3 linked regions of the Danio rerio genome follow. The protein of the gene in region 2 purifies or fractionates together with the protein of the main gene of each other region. This does not show direct contact. Links are inferred from orthologs where the notes say so. Each region holds a gene or a part of one and is shown on either strand. Other genes may lie near its edges. The genes, in order: immt, mtx2 and chchd6a.

Evidence for each region.
Region 1: the proteins of mtx2 (region 2) and immt purify together in Homo sapiens (co-immunoprecipitation; 5 studies listed by BioGRID and IntAct, counting the BioPlex papers as one, with this or other methods). This does not show direct contact. The link is inferred for Danio rerio from reciprocal best matches to the Homo sapiens genes MTX2 and IMMT.
Region 3: the proteins of mtx2 (region 2) and chchd6a purify together in Homo sapiens (co-immunoprecipitation; 3 studies listed by BioGRID and IntAct, counting the BioPlex papers as one, with this or other methods). This does not show direct contact. The link is inferred for Danio rerio from reciprocal best matches to the Homo sapiens genes MTX2 and CHCHD6.

The regions. Positions count from the first base shown.
Region 1 is NC_133189.1:18,394,040-18,398,718, forward strand, and holds part of immt (MICOS complex subunit MIC60), read left to right. Parts: intron 1-551; coding exon 552-702; intron 703-4,679. UniProt on the Homo sapiens protein: Component of the MICOS complex, a large protein complex of the mitochondrial inner membrane that plays crucial roles in the maintenance of crista junctions, inner membrane architecture, and formation of contact sites to the outer membrane.
Region 2 is NC_133181.1:11,832,567-11,836,610, reverse strand, and holds part of mtx2 (metaxin-2), read right to left. Parts: intron 3,364-4,044; coding exon 3,287-3,363; intron 3,216-3,286; coding exon 3,123-3,215; intron 1,384-3,122; coding exon 1,345-1,383; intron 988-1,344; coding exon 862-987; intron 770-861; coding exon 693-769; intron 1-692. UniProt on the Homo sapiens protein: Involved in transport of proteins into the mitochondrion.
Region 3 is NC_133198.1:37,032,811-37,037,489, reverse strand, and holds part of chchd6a (MICOS complex subunit mic25a), read right to left. Parts: intron 1,516-4,679; coding exon 1,437-1,515; intron 1,045-1,436; coding exon 948-1,044; intron 1-947. UniProt on the Homo sapiens protein: Component of the MICOS complex, a large protein complex of the mitochondrial inner membrane that plays crucial roles in the maintenance of crista junctions, inner membrane architecture, and formation of contact sites to the outer membrane.

The sequences.
Region 1 (4,679 bases), on a different chromosome or scaffold from region 2:
AGTACATTAATATCACTACAATATTATGGACTGAAAGATCTGCTGTAAATGCTGTTCTCTGTAAACATGTAAACATTAAAGACCGTCATGTTAATTTCGATGCATTTTGTGACAGGATAGTCTACACACAAACGGCTTTCTGACGACGTGCGGTATCAAACATTCAACAGTCATTAAACAAAGTCTCTGTCTTTCTCCTCTGCATCTGTGTGTTTCTTTTGCCTCAGTGAAAATCAGCGTGTGCGTAAATGAAAAATCCCATTTTTATTCAAATCCTTCCATCTTTCCCTGCCCCGTCACTCCCACCTATACCGCGCTAGACACACCCACTTTCCTGACTTTTTCCAAACTAGAGATGTGAAAACACGCTGTTGAAACGGGGGTTTCATGGCCCTTTAAAATCACTTTAATTCTTAAAGAAGACACAAATAATATGCATTCTGTAATTAGATTTAGCTATGCAACTATGTGAGCATATTATTATTATTATATAACTGATTTTAATGACAGAATCAATGATGTTGGCTAATTTCGTATTTTTATTGAATTAGGAGACTGTCAAACCACTGCAAATCTCTTCATTGTCAGAAGCAACTAAAGACTCCAAACAGCCTAAAGCTAAAGCCAAGAAGTCTGATCCAGCACCTCCACCTTCTGTAGAGGAAGCTCCAGCACCAGCGCCAGCACTTCAGTCACTGGAGGGTAAGTGGGACTTGTACCTTTCTCAAGGCTAATTTATACTTTTGCCCAGTGCCACGTCGCAAACCTCTTTTGAATGCGCACGCACCTCACGAAACGTACATGCCTTTTATACTTATATAGAAGCCCACCGTGAAGTCAGACAGATAAACAGAGAAGTAGAAAGTTTCCCGAACCACGTCATATCATTAACATAGTTCAACATTTTTAAATTTGTTAGTTTTATTATTTTTTATAATTTATGTTAATGATTATAAAGATTTTTAAAATCATTCAAGATTTTTTAAATCATTATTTGACACATCACTTGCTTTTGTTTATATCTCGGACAGTTCTACCTATTAAAGGTAAATATCAATGACAACAGAACATGGGTTGCTCTACAAATATATTTTTTGTTATGGCATAAATAAAGGCCAAAAAGAAGTACATTTACTAAAAAATACTGACATTTTTAATAGAATAAGTCCACTTCACAATTCACACATTATTGTTACTGTCTGGCTAGTTTGTGTCCTCTGCTTTTATACTAAAAAGGCAACACTGGTCCAATATTACCTTTTAATCATTAACTTCACTTTTGCCATGGTCTTTTTTGGCTGTAACAAATGTATCTCTCAGGTTTTTCCAAACTTTTCTCCTTTCTCATGGCTGTTGCAATTTCTAGCTAAGAATTATTGACCATTGGGTTATCCCTAATGATCATACAAGGACAGATCCTAAAGATGTCTGTACAGTCGTACCTGCTTTAGACAAATCTCTTCAAAGTGATTCATATTCAACCCAAATGAAATGTGGCGCTGCTTGAACTGTTCGCTCGAGTCTCAAAAAATTATGTCGCTCACACGCAAAGCGAAACTTTGCAAACACAGTGATGATGTCACATTTGCTGTGCGCAGTAGCGAACGCGTTGGTTATAAACCAGGCTTCAGAACTTTCAGATGTGCAGCAGTTACTCCCTAAAGGCCCTGGTATGCTTAAACAAAATCAATAAAAGTATTGAAATGGCATAATTTCGAACAAAATCAGGCCAAAACGATGTTCGATTTGAGTTTGATTCCGCAGTTCGAAACAGCTCACCAAAGCCAACTTTTTGGGGGTGTTTGTTCTGGCTCCTAAACATCTTTGAGCTAACATTGGTCTGTGATGATTATGCAATTGGTGGGTGTGTCTTGAAACTCCACCTACTTTGACATGCTTCATATTCACAGAGTTCAGAGTCAGACAGGAGAAAAACAGCTAACACAACAACGCTTAGGACCCTATCATACACACGCCGCAACAAGGCGCAAGATGTGTTTGGCGTGATTTGTTGCTGATGAATTCTTGCACGTGACTCTTGCAATTTTCAACTGGGTGCCTCTGGGAAATGCTCATGCGCTCCCAATTTTCTTGTGCGCAAGGACGCGATATGTATAACAGCCCCATAAGCAGGTACTCTTCTCTTTACATTCAGAATATAACTTTACTCTCAATGCTGCACACAAAAAAATAATTTTGCCTGTTTTGGCTTAGTTGGGCAACCATGTTTTTGGGTGCAGGTGTTCTCCTTGGTGACGAGTATTGTCATAGAATGATTTCTGTTCAAATGCTTGCACAAGTTGCTGATCGAGTTAAAAGCAGTCGAAAGTTATTTAGAGACTGGACATAGACTGCATTTTACAGCAATAATTTTTTTTAAGCTCAATAAAATCAAAGTAATGTCTGTATTTCCTCTTGAGGAAGCAGCCACTCTCAACAGCAACCATTTCAGCTCGTGTATAAGGAAAATATAGCATTATGGATTGTTCACATATTGCAAAAAATTGCTTTATACACAAGTAACATATTTAAATGTTGCTTTTTACACAAGTAAGTATTTTGGTCAACTAAGGGAAAATGAATTACACATATCAGGCCAATGGGAGTATAACTAGATATCTATGAATACAGTATGAGTCACATGACGAAATATATTCTGTCATTTGCAGTTTTCAGATGAAATTATAATTTTATGTGTATCCACATAGGATAGCGCCATTAAAAGCTTTAAAAATGTCCTTTGGGATTTCTTATGTATGTAAAATAATGCATATGTTTCTAATCCTGAGCTTGTCAGGATGCCATTATGTAAGGAATGAGTGTTTTATTTGGTTGGTATTCCTGGAAGCAGTGTGTGGCCATTTTGCATTAAGGCCTGGTTAGATCAAAATGAAACCGAAAGCACCCAGGCACTGAGAGTGCTTTGGATTCAAGATCATGTGTTGATATAAGTGTATACAATTACGATTATAATAAATGATGGTGTACTTTTAGTATTATAATAAGATGTTTCTGTGTATATCTGTAGTGTATATTTTGGTGTCACTTTGTTTTGCTTGCAACATGGACAGTTGTCTATTTCCTTGCAGAGACTTAACACAATATCTCACGTCTTATTGATCATGGATTTATTTTCTCCAAACAAGGATACAAATACAACAGTTCTTGGTCTTTATTGTAGTTTGTAAGACTGACAATAGTACTGATGCTATAGTTTATTTGTACACTGAAGTGTGTTTTTCATGTACAGTACGTGAGCATAATGGTTGAATTATGGCTGGGTGTATCCATCTTTGTCGTTTAATTATTTGTTTATGGAATGAGAGATTTATGGGAATAACCAAGTCAGAGGAACCAAAACAAAAAAACTAGCTGTGCACTCATACTCGTACTGTATAAGAGATTGGTAAACTCGGTCCTGGAGGGTCTGTGTCCTGCAAAGGTTTGCTCCAACACTAATCAAACACACCTGCACATGCTAATCAGTGTATTCAAGATAACTAGAAAGCTATAAGCAGGTGTGTTTGATTAGGGTTGGATCTAAACTCCACAGGACACCAGCACTCCAGGAACGAGTTTGCCCATCCCTGCTAGTAAATTTAATAATGAGTTTTAAATTAAAGGGTTAGTTCACCCAAAAATTCTGTAATTAATTACCCTCATGCTGTTCCAAACCCTTGAGACCTACGCTCATCCTCACAACAAAGACATTGTACATGAAATCCGAGAGCTTCCACATTCTCCACAGACTTAAACCTTGACATGACATGTTTAAACTCTAGAAAAGGATCAAAATGCATCATCAAAACATTTGACTTGATAAGAAACTATAAGTAGCTGTGTGACGATAACCGCATCACTGCATTACTGCCATAATGAGACCTTAACCGCAGTGATGTGGTTATTACCGTTGAAGTTGGATTACCAAACTAAAATACTAACTGATGCTTTTTAAAACCGACATGGGCTGTTTCTTCATAATTTTTTTTGTTCCGTCAAATGAATAAAGCAGGCCTAACTTAAATCAACCACTTCATGAAAAATGAGAATTTTTAATGCATCGCTCTTATTGCTATATCACAAAGCTCTATCAACATTTTTGATACAAGTCATTATTTTAAAGATTATGAACTGAGAATATGATTTTACCTCAGATTTTACCTTAATTTTTCCATCTCATTCGCGGTGAGTTCAGGTGACGGAGTATTTTGAATTAGTCAAACTATCCTAAATTAATGTAGCCTGTATATCAGTATATCAATATAGGCTTTGCGTAAAGGCTGGTGAAATGTATTTTTTTTCATTACAGAAGCTATAAACCATTGGATGAGAGACAGCAAATTGCATATATGTTGATGTATTTAAAGTAGGCTATAGGCTATATAACATAATAATTTTGTATAAATAAGTTTACACAAAATGTAGCCTATATATATCACAGTTGTTTGTGATGCAACAGTTACAGTTAATTACATCCTTATTTCCTGTGGAGCAAAAGAAACACTGCAGTTGTGTTGTTGTGTAGCGGATGGGGACATACAAAAAAATACAATTCATATATTTTTGTCAGGGAAAATTTTTTTGGAACAAACTTAATTTGCTACAATTTGTATTTTAGTTTTAATGGGTTTTTTATTGGTCAGTTATCTACAAAATAAATAAGAAGGACGAATAACATT
Region 2 (4,044 bases):
GATTTTTTTGTACATAAAGTAAAGTTTCAATTAAAAATATTCTTTCTGGTAAACTGAAAAAAAGCTAATTAATAGCAAATTTTTGTTTTTATATATATTGCATACATTTTTCTATAGTGTCTGGCTTTTATATGAAGAATAGTGTGTTTGTGTGTTTGTGTGTGTGTGTGTGTGTGTGTGTGTGTGTGTGTGTGTGTGTGTGTGTGTGTGTGTGTGTGTGTGTGTGAGAGAGACCTTTGTGCACTTACCTTGATATGTCTGAGAAAATTAAAATAAGCACCTCAGCTCTCAGAGCATAGTAACCACACTAAGTGTATTCATACACACACACGCACACACGCACGCACACACACACACACACACACACACACTATAATTTGCTCTTACACTTCATAAAAATCCATATAAAAGCCAGAAACTTTTTTTTCACAGGCCTATCTAAAACATGTGTTACCTCTTCTCAACAGGGAAAATCAACAACAATCAAGAATGCATAGTGTCAAGGCTTTACAATCAAAAAATGTTGTTATAATGGAAGTCAATGGGGCAAAAACAGCCTCCAACATAACAGAAAGGTAGTCAGTTTGAACAATACACAAGGGGTAACTATCCCCTTAATGCATCCTTGTTCAATCAAACTATAAATTTAAAATAAAACATTTGAATATTACTTATATGTGCTCGAAACATACTGTTTGTTGAAAAAGTAGGGCTGTGTTCCTAATCGCTGTGACAAGGCCTGACAACACTGGCTCACATCTTCATACACCTAAAATCAAGAAAGGAAAAAAAGATTTAGGAAAAAAGGAAAACGCACAAACTGCGAGTGAATGACTTGCACTTCATTTGTGTTTCAAATACCTGCTCCAGGCTCTTTCCAGACCATCCAATGGCGTTCATCTTCCTGCGCACCTCCCACTGCTTCTGATAGGCCAGAATGTGATTGAGGGGCCAAGAGTAGGGGCTGCTGTATCGAGGCCTGGAGATCTGAACATAATACATACCATATTAACAATACTAAAGAGATCACACTGCAAAAATTGCTTCGATTTTATCTGGTTTCTAGTCCAGACGTCTTTAAAATTCTTAAATCAAGAAGCTTTTTATCAACAAATAAAAAAAAATATTGTCATGCTTTAAGAAATTATATGCATTAAAACAATAAACCATTTTAATATACGAGAAAAACAAGCTAAATAATCTGCCAGTGGGGTAAGAAAAATGATATGTGGACTAGAAAAAGGATAAAAAATCGTTTTTTTGCAGTGTAATTTTATTATTTTGACCAAGACATGCATTATACTTGTTTTGTGGACATTCTTGTACATGAATCATGAATCATACCTCTGTAGCAGTAAAGTCGTCACACCACTGGATGTATAACTACAAAGAAGAGGCAAAGATTCATTGGGCTGCACTGTTTACCGCAGTGAAACTGTTTTCCCATAAAATGGTTATGGGAAAGATAAAATACATAGAAATGAGAAAAGGTGTCATTGAAAAAGGTTCACAAGCTACATTTTTAAGCAGGCATTTATTTAAAACATTTATTAAATTATTAACAATTTATTTAAAACATTATATCAGAGCCTTTCATTGCATTTTTATGTAGTGCATATACGAGTACACCCCTCACAAATCTCTCATTTAAATTAATATTTTAAATAAGAAGCTTTATAATATTATATTCGTGCATATACATTAGATTAGTCAATACTGAAGCCAAATCTGAAGCTAATTAGAGTTGTTCAAAGCCTGGTGCTACAGCAAAGCATGCAGCATCCTGAAGGACTCATCGCATCCAGCGCACCCCTTATTTCAACTGTTACCTAGGGGGAGGCGGGACAGGAGCATAAAAGTCCAAACAAACAGACTGAAATAGTACATATCTCGGGGCTGTGAAAATAATGAACGGACATTAAATTTGATGGCTTTCTGGCCAACATTTTACATACTTTTTAACTTGAAAGCTGCTAAAAATCCACTTGCCACTTTCCATGCATGCAAGTATTATAATTATTGTTGTTGTCTTTATACTTCTTTTTTTATCTCTTCTTGTTATTATTGTTGTTGTTTTAGACCATTAGGAATGCACTGAAGGGATGGGCAAACGTAATTCTCGTTGTATTTTGTACTATGACAATAAAGATTCTGATTCTGATAAATCCAACAAAATAACTTGATGATAATGGTCCAAAATTAGTACACCCAAATGTATATGCTAGGGGAAAATATTAAATAATTTTAAAAGAGAAAAATTCAAGAGCAACAAAAGAATTATGAAATTTTGTAGTTTGCCATTTAAAAAAAAAAAATATATATATATATATATTGCATAATTTAAATGTATAGTCTTTCTAAACGTTTCTAAAAATGTTCAGTGATTAAACTATTATTTTAATTAATAAATCGATTTAATAAATCGGTTTTGTTCAAATGCATCAAAATATATGACCTATATTCACTAAGAAATAGATAAAATGTTCGTTTTGAAAATGGGGTGTACTCGTTTATGTTGAGCACTGTATATGATGGAATGTCTCTGACTGGCATGTTGTTAAAACAAGAGCTTTAATCAGATCAGATACACTCTTGCATTCACACACACATACACTAAGGCCAGTTTAGCTTCTTCAGTTCACCTATAGCGCATGTCTTTGGACTGTGGGAGAAACCGGAGCACCCGGAGGAAACCCACGCCAACACAGGGAGAACATGCAAACTCCATACAGAAACACCAACTGACCCAGCCAGGGCTTGAACCAGCGAAATTCTTACTGTGAGGCGACTGTGCTAACCACTAAGCCACCGTGTCACCTTCTTTTTTCTTTTCAACACAAAAGATATTTTAAATATGCAAAGTTAACTGTTGACATCCATAGTAGGAAAAACCAATACAAAAATATATTTTTTGTGTTCAACAGAAGAAAGAAACTCAAAAAAGTTTGAAACAAGTGGATTTTTTGGATGAACCATTTCCTTAAGTATCCACAAAAAAAAAATGAAAAGCACCAAAACAGCCTTCAGAATAGTTCAGCTTTGTGGTTGCGGAAATAAATATCATTTTAAAATAAATTCAAGCCAACTTTTTAACCAAATTGATGTTTGCAGCAGGTCTGTACCTCCGCGGTCAGAAGCATGTTATTGACCAACTCCATGTAAGCCTTCATCTCTGCCCTCTGGACATCATCCAGCCCGTCACTCAGAGAATGACCCTGTGGACAGCATAACGTCAGCCAACAGCCAAACATTCCCATATTCATATGAAGCTGAGGGATGCCGTTACCTTTGCCTTTGTGAACTGAACAATCGGCCCCAATTCGGACACGACCTGATTTCCAACTTGGATGAAAGGAACCTTCCCTAATGAAGGAAAATAAGAGACGATATAAAACATACAAGCTTTAACATTTAACCAGATAATAAAAGATCACTGTTTTTAATAAAATAAACAGATGGCCAAAAAGATACACGAAGTAAACGATACAAAAAAATTTTTTTTGTTAAAAGGAACAAAAAATCTTTTGCAAACAAGCATTGACACGATGCTCAATTAGTCCAAATGGGTCCAAAGTGTGCAGAGAAAATATCCCAGGCAATGTTTTTCCGATCATCTATTGTCCAATTTTGGTGAGCCTGTACAAATTGTAGTCCTAGTTCCCTGTTCTTAGCTGACAGGAGTGGCACCCGGTGTGGTCTTCTGCTGCTGTAGCCCATCTGCCTCAAAGTTGGATGTGTTGTGCGTTCAGAGATGCTCTTCTGCATATCTCAGTTGTAACAAGTGGTTATTTGAGTTACTGTTGCCTTTTTATCACCTCGAACCAGTCTGGCCATTTTCCTCTGACCCCTGGCATCAATAAGGCATTTCCGCCCACAGAACTGCCACTCACTGGATACTTTCTCTTTTTGGGACCATTCTCTGTAAACCCTAGAGATGGTTGTGCATGAAAATCCAGGTAGATCAGCAGTTTCTGAAATACTCAGGTATGCCCATCTGACACCAACAATCATGCCACATTCAAAGTCACTTAAATCCCCTTTCTT
Region 3 (4,679 bases), on a different chromosome or scaffold from region 2:
TCCTATTCTAATTGCAGTCTCTGCCCTTTTGGGAGCTCCACTGCTAGTGGGATTTTTGAGCACTATATCAGATATACTAGTCGACTGATATATGTATTGTCATATTAGGAGCACGATTTAGAAAATGAAAAATTAATTGGTTGAAAATGTCAGTTTCACACCTACTAGGGTTGCACAGTATACCAGTACTATGGTAGTATCGTGACACTACGGCTAAAAAAAACTGTGCCACAAACGGTAGTATCATCATTAATGGTTTATCTACAATAGATGTTGCATGTATAAAAATCACTAAAATGCTCACATGTTTGTGCAACAACAGACTTTATTTTAATAGTTTGTGGAGCCCTTTAACGTGGCAAAACTATATGTAGAAATAGTGCCTTTTATGGTAGTCTATAGCACGTTTTTGAACGCTTCAGTTTGAACGCGCATCTGAATCAGTTCATTTCTGTTCCTGTTAATATGATTTAGTAGCTACAACAACAGCAACAATCTCTTTAGAATAACGACTCACAAAGTGAAATTTTAGATTACTTTGGATTGTTGCCTGATAAGACTAAAATAAAATAGATGAAAACCCCAAAATAGCAACAGGAAACATTGAAACAATTTTTAGCACTTCATATAGCCTCATTTTGTTGGGAAAAATGCTCTTTTGTAACAAATTGAATTTGGTATAATTAGTTTTTTTTTTTTTCTTTTTAAGTATTTTTTGTTGGTCAGTTATCAACAAAATAAAAAATAAATAAATACATTTAAGGTGACGTGTATATATAATATTTAGATGTATTCCTTAATGTAAACTTACTTTTTAATACTAATGTTATGAATTTCAATATCACATTTGTAATATGATTGCATTTTATCATATTATTTAAATCCGATTATGTATCAATAATTAAACTTTGTTTAATATTTAGATTTAGACATCTGTACTGAAGTACCTCTTTTTGAGCTCCTCTTTAGAGTCGGGAAACGTCGTTTTGGCCTGTGTTTTTGGAGCTTGTGCGTCTGATGTGCTGGGTGTTCGAGTTTGATGGCCTGCAGGATTAAATTAAATGTAAAAAATTATTAACTTGCATTACAAACTAATGATTTTACATATCATAAGGGAAAAAGTGAATATGTTTGTTTATTGCCACATCAGCAACTTATGGCCATTTCATGGCAAGATCAATATATAAAAACATTACATGATAAGAACAACTTACATTTCAATAAGAGATGATATACAAATATATCAATAGAAATAAATAAAAACATTCACAAAAACTGTATACTAAAAGATAATTATAATTTTCAATTGAATATTTGATTTAGCTTAAAATGTGACCTGGTGAAAGTTTTTTTCATTCTAAAAATCTTGTCTAATAGTTCAGAGTGAATATGAGCAGCAAACAATTATGGATGGAGAGGCGATAATAATGTCATACCTTGGTTTTCTTTATTGTTGGCAGGTGGTCTTGGATCAGCGTTGGTGTTCCTCATGCGTTGTAAGACGTCTTCAGACAGCTGAGTACACAAATGTAGAAAGTGACTGATAAATATACAGTTGAAGTCAGAATTATTAGCCCCCTTTGAACTTTTTTTCTTTTTTAAATATTTCCCAAATGATGTTTAACAGAGCAAGGAAAGTTTCACAGTATGTCTGATAACATTTATTCTTCTGGAGAAAGTCTTATTTGTTTTATTTCGGCTAGAATAAAAGCAGTTATTAATTTGTTAAAAACTATTCTAATGTCTATTCTATTAGTCCCTTTAAGCTATATAGTTTTGATAGTCTACAGAACAAACCATCATTATACAATATCTTCTCTAATTACCTTAACCTGTCTAGTTAACCTAATTAACCTAGTTAAGCCTTTAAATGTCACTTTAAGCTGTATAGAAGTGTCTTGAAAAATATCTAGTCAAATATTATTTACTGTCATCAAGGCAAAGATAAAATAAATCAGTTATTTAAAATGAGATATTAAAACTATTATGTTTAGAAATCTGCCCTGCGTTAAACAGAAACTGGGGAAAAAATAAACAGGTGGGGCTAATAATTCAGGGGGTTTAATAATTCTGACTTCAACTGTACATATGCTAAATTAATTAACACATATTTTAAAGCATTAATGTTATGATTTGTCGACAGACAGATAAACAATCATGGATATAGTGAAAAAAAATGCATCTTCCTTTTTGTCATGTATCATTTATGAAGTTTTACAGGTTATTTGTGCAGTATTGCTGAAGATTTACAAACTTTAATAAAGAATTTTAAGAATGTTGAGATGGTTTTCAAGCAAATTGGTTGAATTAATAATCCAATTTATGATTATTGATCCAATTAAATGGCAAAATGTTTTTAATCTATTTGTTTCTCCATACAAACATTCATTAATTACAAAATCAGATCACTATTGTGGTCCTAGTTATATAAACATAAACTGAACTTCTATTTAAACAATTTACTTATCTACAAGGAAATGATTAAAATCTATCTATAAATTGTACCACGTTTAATATTCGCTATTAATATGCTTTATTGTGTATCATCTCTCCTGTTGGATTTGGATTATATTTCATCTTGCATTTAGTTTTTTCTTTCTTTAGTACAGCAACTTTTTGTATCACAAAATCTATTTGTAAAGTATATTTTTGTTAGAATTGCAAAAAAAAAAGATAATAAATTACTTTAAAACATGAAATGTAATATATGAGTTTTGCTTCGTATTGTTGTCTTATGTACGGACTTATTAGAAATGAAACTTTTGTAATACCTTTTTCTACATAAACAATTATTATTTTCAAACATTATTATCCTAAAAACATACTGTACATTTAGAAAGCTATCACAACAAGTTTTTATTTCTAATAAACGCAGCTATAAGACAACAATATGAAAATGTCACATTCAAATATTATGTTTAAAATATAGTTACACGCATTACTAACACATTACTACGTTTAAAACATTAAATATGCAGCTAATTAAAAATATAAAGTTCCTCATTATTCACAGACATTCAAATGGTTTTAATCTTTAAGTCTATTTGTAAAGTACATTCATGTTGGAATTGCAATAAAAGATTTTTAAAATAACATAAAACACTTAACCAAGTCAAAAACCTCTAAGTGCCGTCGGAAATCTCCATTGAAAAGTAACCTTTTTCTCAACCTCTGTTGTTTATGTTGCGTTATTTCTGTTACGTTTCAGTGAGAGTCAGAGAAGATCCAATAGCAAGTGTACAAGTTTATTGTGAAGACAAATACAAATAGTGTCAGGCTAGACGGACGCAGGACGCAGGGCAGGAAACAGAACGGGGAAAACCAGATCCAGATTACTCCGCAGGGCCTGAGCACAGACACACAAACATGAGTGATAACAACGAACTGACACAGACACACAAAAGCGTCGCCCAGATATAGGCACCATGATGAGCCTCAGCTGGCGAACTAATCAGACCAACTGAATGACGTCATAACACGTGAGCCTAACAAATCCACATGGACAACCAAAACAAAACAAACCCACGTGATCAACATACACTCCGGAGAAGCGCACAAACCTGCAACCGTGACATTACCTCCTCTCCTACGAGCACCTCCTGGTGCTTCCAGAAGAGCTTACTTGGCGATTGTAATCATCGATAAGAGAGTGATCCAATATGTCCTTTGCAGGAACCCAACTCCTCTCCTCCGCACCATAACCTTCCCAGTCCACCAAGTACTGAAATCCTCGTCCCCTCCGTCTCGAGTCCAGAATGCGCTTAACCGAATAAACAGTCTCCCCATCTACGAGACGCGGCGGGGGGGGGAACCGGAGTGGGCGGGTTAATGGCCGTATGAAAAACGGGCTTTAATTTGGAAACATGAAACACGGGATGTATTCTCCTGTACGCTGGAGGAAGTTTGAGGCAGACTGCCACCGGACTAATGATCTTGATGACAGTGAATGGGCCAATAAATTTAGGTGCAAGTTTATTACATACGGAACGCAAGGGAATATTCTTAGTTGAAAGCCACACTTTTTGACCAACGACGTAAACGGGAGGCTTCGACCGGTGGCGATCGGCTTTAGCCTTGGTGCGCGCACCCACTTGGAGGAGGGTCTGTCTGGCTCTGCTCCAAGTGCGTCGGCACCTCTGGACAAAGGCGTGGGCAGAGGAGACCGCGATTTCGGATTCCAGACTGGGAAAAGCTGGTGGCTGGTATCCTAAACTACACTGAAACGGAGAGAGGCCCGTAGCCGACACTGGTAATGAATTGTGTGCGTACTCCACCCATGGGAGCTGCTGACTCCAAGAGGCGGGATTTTGGGAAACCAAACAACGTAACATACGCTCGAGATCTTGATTGGCCCTCTCTGTTTGTCCATTACTCTGAGGATGGAAACCAGAAGAAAGGCTTACAGTCGCTCCCAATAAATGACAGAATTCTCTCCAAAATTTAGAGACAAACTGGGGTCCCCTGTCAGAAACCACGTCCGTCGGGAGGCCATGAATGCGAAAGACGTGATTAATGACAGCATCCGCTGTCTCTCTGGCTGAGGGTAATTTGGGCAGAGGAATGAAATGAGTAGCCTTCGAGAACCGGTCCACAACGGTCAAAACAGCCGTATTGCCACCAGATGGCGGGAGACCAGTGACGAAATCTAGCGAAATGTGCGACCAGGGTCTCGAAGGCAC